Sus scrofa: one gene and its partner. The protein of the gene in region 1 binds, or shares a complex with, the protein of each later gene. Links are inferred from orthologs where the notes say so. Each region holds a gene or a part of one and is shown on either strand. Other genes may lie near its edges.

Evidence for each region. Proteins that work in one complex are often made in the same cells at the same time.
Region 2: the proteins of GIPC1 (region 1) and PLXND1 are in contact, whole or in part, in a crystal structure (PDB 5V6T), measured with the Mus musculus proteins. The link is inferred for Sus scrofa from reciprocal best matches to the Homo sapiens genes GIPC1 and PLXND1. Residues at the interface, in NP_061241.1 of Mus musculus: His61, Glu141, Ala142, Leu143, Gly144, Leu145, Thr146, Ile147, Thr148, Asp149, Asn150, Gly151, Phe156, Lys158, Arg159, Arg190, His191, Tyr192, Glu193, Ala195, Arg196, Leu198, Lys199; in NP_080652.2 of Mus musculus: Glu1400, Met1889, Glu1893, Arg1899, Gln1902, Gln1904, His1905, Glu1908, Ile1918, Tyr1919, Cys1921, Tyr1922, Ser1923, Glu1924, Ala1925.

Annotation. Positions count from the first base shown.
Region 1 is NC_010444.4:64,779,178-64,783,293, reverse strand, and holds the start of GIPC1 (PDZ domain-containing protein GIPC1), read right to left. Parts: upstream 2,848-4,116; 5' UTR 2,737-2,847; intron 1,696-2,736; exon of another isoform or gene 1,600-1,695; intron 1-1,599. UniProt on the Homo sapiens protein: May be involved in G protein-linked signaling.
Region 2 is NC_010455.5:68,955,055-68,958,700, forward strand, and holds part of PLXND1 (plexin-D1), read right to left. Parts: intron 2,967-3,646; coding exon 2,859-2,966; intron 2,779-2,858; coding exon 2,666-2,778; intron 1,915-2,665; coding exon 1,810-1,914; intron 1,341-1,809; coding exon 1,210-1,340; intron 839-1,209; coding exon 640-838; intron 1-639. UniProt on the Homo sapiens protein: Cell surface receptor for SEMA4A and for class 3 semaphorins, such as SEMA3A, SEMA3C and SEMA3E. Plays an important role in cell-cell signaling, and in regulating the migration of a wide spectrum of cell types.

The DNA.
Region 1 (4,116 bases):
CAAGAGCCCCCCCTTTGCCTACAGATTCTACCATGCCACTCCCTTGTATTTTATTCAAAGCACTTATTACCCTCTGCAAGTATCTTCTTGTTAAACTGTTTGTTGCCTGTTTTCCCCCCTTTCGAATGGCAACTCCCCATAAGCATGGATTTTTGTCTTGTTCACTATTATATCCTCTGTGCCAGGAACAGTACTTGGCACATAGTAGGTGCTCAATAAATATGTGTAGAATGAATGAATGTGTCTTAAACCCTTCATTCTGATTTCTCTGGAGCCCCTCTATCCCCAGAACATGCCCACTGTAGAGTTGCTAGCTGCCACCTCCTCACCATGTTCCTAGTCTCCCCTCAAACCTTAACACAGGGACAGAGGAAAAGGAGTTTAAGCCCAGGGCATTGAGCACATTCGCTGGAATCCCAGCATCCCCACCCTCTTTTCTCTGGGAAGGGCATGAAACTCAACAAGCCATAGTTATACAGAGTTGCAGTGAGGGGAGCAGGAAGTGGGGAAGGGGGTTCCTGGGAGCTCATACAAGCTGTAGGGGGTGGTGGGGAAACACCACACCCAGGCTCCCCTTTTCAGCAGGGTATTGCTTGGGAGAGGAAGCCGGGAGGCCTCTGATTCAGTCTTGAAAAACCGGCTCCTGGGTGTTTCCGGGGAGAACGCCTACTGTCCTGGGCCCAGGCTTCCCAGGAGGGCCTAGCAGGCACAGGACCCCACCGTGCTGCCTCCCCCACCCCCATCTACCTCTCCTTCAGATGTCACTTTCTTCTCAAGACCCTGATATTTTGTCCTTGCCTTTTCCAGTTTAGGGGAGAAGGGACATGAGGGCAGCTTCCTGTTTGAGCAGCTGGTGAAAGCAAAGACCAGCGGGTGTGGCCCAGATGGCATGTCTGGTTGGAGGGGGTAGAGTGGGAGGAGCTGGTCAGAAACACCTGAGCCTTGGAACCACTGGGCATCTAGTCTAGTGGTTGAGACTCCTGTTCTGGACTCTAAGGCATGGGTTTGAGTCCCAGATTTGCCACTCACTAGCTGTGTGATCTTGGGCAAGTCACTCTAGCTCTCTGGGTCTACCGCTTCAGCTCCGAAAGAAGCAACAGCACCTTCCATGAGGTGTTTAGATTCAATGGTAAATATGGCATGGTAAATAGCTGACACGGAAGTGCTCAATAAATGCTAGCCGGGTTATTTATTTTCATTATTTTTATCGGGACCTCGGTCCTCCCCAAGCCTCCTTAGGCCCAGGAAGATTGAGAAAGGCCAGCTGTGGAGAGTTGCCCAGGCAGGGCTCAGAAATACCGATCCCGCTCCTGTCCCCTCTGGGACGGGAACTGTCCAGAGTGCAGGGAGGTGGGATGCGGCTGGAGAGCCCATCCCGGCGGCGGGAGGCATTTACTCCTTCCTCCGGCAGGAAGGCAGGCGGCCCGCTGGGGAGGGGCCTCCGGCACCCCCTGGCTTAGTCTAGACCTCCAGCCTCGTTCCATAGGGCCGGCCCTACCTCGTAGGACCTGCCAGATCCCCGTGGATCTGCGATCCCACGGATCCGCGCTAGGGTCCCTCGAGCCGCCGCGATGCGCACCGCCCGCAGGGGACACTCACCTGCATTGCCGCCTCCCAGCGCGCGCCCTGCTTGGCCCTCGGCAAACTCTGGCCCGGGCCTCTCCAGCAGCACAGCCAGGGGGCGGGGCCTGTGCCCGCGTCCGGCCAATCAGGAGCGGCCGCTCGGCGTTCGCGGCCAATCGGCTCCACGCCCCCCGCTCCGGGTGGAACCGAAGGAAACATTCCAGAGGGATCCCTGAGCCTCGCCCGGCTCTTCACGACACCTCCCCCGCGCCACGGAGCATTGGATCTTCCCGCCCCTCCTAAGCCGCGGCGGGCTGTACCACCGCAAGGCTGCGGAGGGGGGAGCTGCGGCTGGGCCCCGGCCAATCTCAGAGAAGGAAGGAGGCCAGTGGCCAATGGAAAGCTGGGACTCCTGGACCACGTGCTGTTCGCTGAGTGTCCGGGTGGGGTGCTGTGGCTGGTAAGAAGCTGGGGGCTAGTCTTGGGAGTCAGGAGACCGAGACTGAGTTTCGCAGAGAGGATGAAAACTGCCGAAGTCCAGAAAACGGACCCGCTAGGAAATCCGGGAGGGAGCCAAGGGCAGCTTCAGATCCAGTCCTCCGCCCGGCCTGCCCCTGCCCCTGCGTGGCCATCCTCGGGGTGGATAAAAACACGCATTCATTCCGAGCGGGCAGGCGGGAGACTGAGATGAATAGGGAGGGTCCCGAGTGTCCCTGCATCTTGGATGGACAATGGACAAGGGCATTCATTCATTCATCCACTTATCAAATATTTAATGTGCCCCTGGTCCGTGCCAGTCTCTGTCCTATCTCTACAGACACACTGATGAGTAAGCTGAAAGAATGTGCTCCTGGTAGAAGGAACAGCGCGTGCAAAGACTTAGAGGGCGGACAGAAAGATACAGCACGCTTTAGGAGAGTACAGTACTGTAGGAGCTAGCAAAGCAGGGTGAAAGGGCAAGATGCCCTGTTCGCTCGTTGGTTGACCAGCGAATATTTATTGAGCACATACTATGTGCTGGATTACAAAGGGATACCCAGCCAACCCAAGCCTCTGTCCTCAGTTTCTTACATCTGACTGTTCTCCGCCTCCCTACCCCCACCTCCAGCCCCAGACTGGCACAGAGCAGGGTCTCCGTACATATGTGTAGGTAAAAGAACTGGGTAATCTCACCATCTCCAGGTTTGGCTTGTAACCAGGATTTCTCAGGCAGGAGCAGGTCCAAGAAACAAAGATACCAACACAACTTGCCCAGGCCAGGAAGCTCAGTTCCCAGGACAGGTGAGATTCCCTTGTTCCAGGAACAAGCCAGCCACTCAGGCAGCTGGGGCTGGACCGTAGTTCACTGTGTGTTCTGGGAATTGTAGTTCTTGGAGACCTAACTTCTCAACCCTCATTGAACGATTGGCTCTTTGCAGTTCCCTGGATGAGATGCTGAGCGTTCCAGCCCTGCTAGGGCCTGCAGAAGGACAAAGTAAAAAGGGAGCTTGAGCCCTGGACTTAGCTGCTGAGGTCTGCCCAGGCAGCCCCACCCAGCTGGCAAATACCGAGACTGCAGAGGCAACAGGGACAGCTAATGTCCTTCTCTTCCTGTTCTGCTGACCTCTGCCACGCCCACTGAGCGATCAGTTGCCTCTGGCTAGGCCTGTGCCCTCTCTGGGACTGTGTCCACTGCCCTGCTTATGCCTGGCATCTAAGCTGCTTCCTAAACACCTGGAGAGGACAGTATGTGGGCTGTGGGCACAGCAGAGTCCTGAGCGGAATCCACATGATTCTACCTGTTGATGAAGAAGTGCCCAGGGAGGGGTGAGGGCAGGGGCACAGAGCAACACGGGGCATCTCCTTCCTACTTTGTGGGACTTCAAAGTTTCTCCAAGGAAATAAAATTCAAAAAGCCTCCAGCCAAGATAAGAATTACCAAACCCTTATCATCCCACCTGTCTCACTGTAACTGTTACAATGTTCGTAAGGACCTCCCCACCCCAGCAACTTGGCCTACTTCTTGCTCCCTACTAGGAAAGGTATGTGGCCCACTCCTCACCTCTTCCCCTTGATCAACCTGGCCTACTCCTTCCTGCCCCCCACTAGAAAAGGTATGTAGCCCACTCCTTACCCCACCCCTTTAGGGGCAACATATGGCCCCAAACTACCAGCAGGTGTATCCAAAGACCCTGTCTTTCCCCAACCAACCAGCAAGTGTATCAGAAGACCTCATTCTTCTCCAACCAATCACTAGGTCCTCAGGTGTATGGCAAGACCGCTTCTTTGTCTTTGGGCTATAAAAACAGACACAACCATGCCCCCAGGGTCTGCTCTCCCTGAATATCAGGAAGTCGACCTGATGTGTTAACAGTGTCTCTTGCTTCAATATACTTGTCTTTTCTACACCTTGCTTTAAATTTAGAAAATTACTTTTCCACCCACGTGCAGAGACCACAACATACTTGATTTTATAGCTCAAGAAGCTAGGAGGCTCAGTGGGTGAGGAGGTCAGATTTGAGTGCTACCTCTGCCCCTTTTAGGGGGTGGGGGTGGGGAAATAATTCTGGAATG
Region 2 (3,646 bases), on another chromosome or scaffold:
GGCCCCACCAGCCTCCTCTCTCCACAGAAAGACTTGCTGGACTCCTTCAGTTTCTTTCCAGAACATTCCCTCCTCCTTCCTCTGCTCCTGCTATAACCAAAGCCTGGACACCCTCCCCACTCAACCTTTACCTGCCTTTTTCCTCCTGAGCCCTCAGGTCTCACCTCTGGAAGCCACCTTGAACCCTCCAGCCAGGTCAGGAGCCGCAGCGTTGAGCGCTGCCGTATGGCATTTATTACTCTGTATTTTCATTTACTTCCACACCTGTCTCCTCGAAGACTGGGAGTCCCTCCAGGGCCAGACCCAGGTCTTATTTATCCCCTGAACCCAGAGCAGGGGCCCAAAGGCACCTAGGGAGGGTCTGAGGACTGAGAAAACAATCTTCTGAAACAAAGCTCCCGTCCCAGGCTTGCTCTGACCTCTGCAGGAAGCCAGGGCTCTTCTGAGCCTGGGTTCCCCATCTGGGCAAGGGCTCCTATGGCCCTGTCCTACCCACTCTGAGCCTCTTTCCTCATCCACACAACCCCTGGCAGAGTTGGCATGAGGGTAAAATGAAGTCAGACCTATTGGTGAAGCTGGGCCCGGTGGTGGCAGTGACATGGCTGCCCTACACACGGGTGCCTGTCCCAGTGGCCTTACCCGCAGGCAGCTGTACATGCAGATGGACATCCAGTTGGTCAGCATTTTCTCGACCACAGACTCTGTGCGCCGCAGCATGAGCTTGGGGTTCTTGGCAGCAGAGGCATCGATGAGGTCCACCAGCAGCTCCTTCATGATGCCCGTGTAGTACTCGAGCTTACCGTGCAGTGCGATGGTCAGCAGGGACGCCAGGCTGCACCTGCGGGCAGATGCAGGGGCATCTGCACCAGCCGCACCGGGAGGCCCTGGGATCTGAGGACCACATGGTGGGGTGGTCCACCTTGTCACTGGACACAGACAGGTAAGTGAGGCTGAAGTAAGGGCTACCTCTCCTAACACGCACCATGACCACTGTGACCACGAGTCCTGTCCTGGGCACCCAGGATCAGGAAGGGGAAGCACAGGGGGGCGTCTCAGGACATCTGGAGTCCTAGGACCCAGGGCCTGATGCTGGGGACATGACTGCTGCCCAGGGGACATGGGGATTTGCAAACCGCCCAGGCAGACCTAGGAGTGGTGCCCTGCCCCCTCCGCCAGGCCCTGCCCCTTCCCCGAAGCCTGAAGGCTGACCTGTCCCGCACTGCAAAGTCCTTCTGTTGCTCCAGCGCATGGACAAAGACGATGAGGAAGTGCTTGTTGTTGAGCAGCGAGGAGAATAGGCTGATGCCCTCTTCCATGTTGGGCCGGCAGCTCTCAGGGATCTGCAGGGGTGCGTGGTCCACAGGGGTCCCGTGTCACTGCCTGGCCTAGCTGTCAGCACTCATGATCCCCAGAATGGCTCTGTGAAGGCCTCCTGGGATGGGGAACTCATCACCTTTCACAGGTAAGTCACTGGGAATGATGGCTCAGTTGACTTCAAAAGTGGGGCTCAGCAGGGGTAAGGGTGCAGAAGGCAGCCCAGTGTCCCTGTGTGGGGGACCCTCTCACCTTCCATTCTCGAAGCAGCAGATGGAGGGGGACATCTAAGGGGACTCAATCCCACCCCCCACGACCTGGCCTAGAGGTCAGCACTCAGGTACCCTGAATGGCCACTTGAATACCTTCTGGGATGGAGAGCTCACTACCTCACAACAGCAGGTTCCTCCCCACTCCCCAGGATTAGGACCAATGGATCCAATGAGCTGGAAACTGGGGAAGCCCCATGTGTGCGTGCGGGGTTGGGGTACTCACCTTCCACTCTCCCAGCAGTGGGTGCGTCTCCGGCACCGTGGAGCTGCCCTGGGAGTTGAGGGTCTGGGATGGCAGCACATAACGCTCTTCATAGAGGGAGGAGCACTGTGGAGGCAGATGCCCAGCAGCTCAGCAGGGCTGCACGCTCCCATGACTCCTCCAGGGGCTGCTTAACACATGCAAGAGCCCAGTTTATAAAGAAGAGAGGCCGTGGGCCACGCTCAGGGGCCACAGGATGCCAGGGGAGGAAGAGGAGCAGAATCAGCACGAGGCAGTATGTGGCAAAGCTGGAGCATATGAGGCTCAAAAGGAAGCAAAGCAGCTCAGGGTAGAAGGAGGGAAACCGAGGCAGAAAGGGCTGCAGGGACACTACACGGGCTCTCTGGCTGCTGCGTGCAGAAGGGTGTCGACAGGGCCAGAGGAGGTGCTGGTTACAGGCCCAAATACCCTCAACAGGCCAGGGAAGGTGGGGGCAGGGCAGGGATGGGGCAGAGTCCAGAACACAGGAGGGGAGGCGGAGCCCCAGGGGCCCAGAGGTTAGAGGGTGTCAGTGAGCCGGGGCCTCTGTTCCTCTGCTCAGTAAGAGGCAGGCCCAGCTCTGCAGGGGGAAAGCGGGCTTGTGTACGGACAGTTAAACATCAAGGGAGCAGAGAAGGAAAGCGGGGAGAAACCGGGCCTGCTGGCCAGGCAGCGCAGCGCAGGCGCCCGCGGCTGGGCGGGTATGTTTTGCACTGCTCAGTGGCCCATGATGCACCTGCCAAATTCTCCCACAGGGGATGAAAGTGACCTCTGGGTTCTTGGGGCCCAGGGATGGGTTGAGGAGCCCCAGAGGGAACTGGCACAGGCGCAAACTGACCTTGGGGAAGAAGGTGCGGGTTACAAAGTGCTTGTACTCCAGGAAGGGGATGCCCTGGCTGCGGTTCAGCTCCTTGGTCAGGTCTGTCATGTCTGTCTGCAGCTCAGCGAAGCCTGGAGGACAGGCAGGTGGCCGTGAGTAGACCAGCAGAGGAAGCAGAGGCCCGAGGTCCCACGTGGTCCCTGCCTGCTACCTTTCCGGATCTCCTCTCGGATCTGGGACTCCATCTCTTCCATCTGCAGCAGCGTCTTCTGCCAGTAGCGCTCGGCACGGCGGCTCTTGGTGCAGAAGACGAACAGGGCTGTGGGCAGCGGAGGGATGGTCAGGCCCTGAGGGGCCTTGGGAGAGTGTGCGGTGGTGCCCAGCGTGTGTGGGGCCTGACCTGAAGGGAAGATCCTGCCTGCTGCTGTCCCCACCCCAGAGTGGGCTGAAAGCTACAGGCCAAGGGCTTGGGAAATGGCCAGGAATAGGAGGCTCCCATGTCCTATTCTTACAATAAAAAATGAGTGTGTGTTTAAGCCCCTGGTAAAAAGTAGATTTCCCAGGATGACAGAAGCACGGCTGCTTTCTGCTTTCTGTTCTCTTTCTGCTTCTGAGGATTTTCAATTCTTTCTACTCTGGCCAGGCCTCACTTGTGAATGAAGAACTTTTTAAAAGATGACAAAACAGTACTGTATTTTAATCCCTTTCTGGGATATAATATAGATGTATGTGTGTGTATGTATATATACATACATATACACACACACACATATATATAATGTATGTTTTCCCAGAGAGTTTTCTACCACACTTGTACCACTTTAATTCTTTTAATTCCTACCATCGGTGCAGGAGGCTGAGGTTCCTCTCTTCACTGAATACATTACTTTTATAACCATTACTTTAAGAGCAGCATAGCTGCCTAAGATGAAAGTGAACCTTCCCTGAACCGGCCTCTTCTAAGTACCTCCATGAGCTCCCTGTGGACTGGAAAACCCA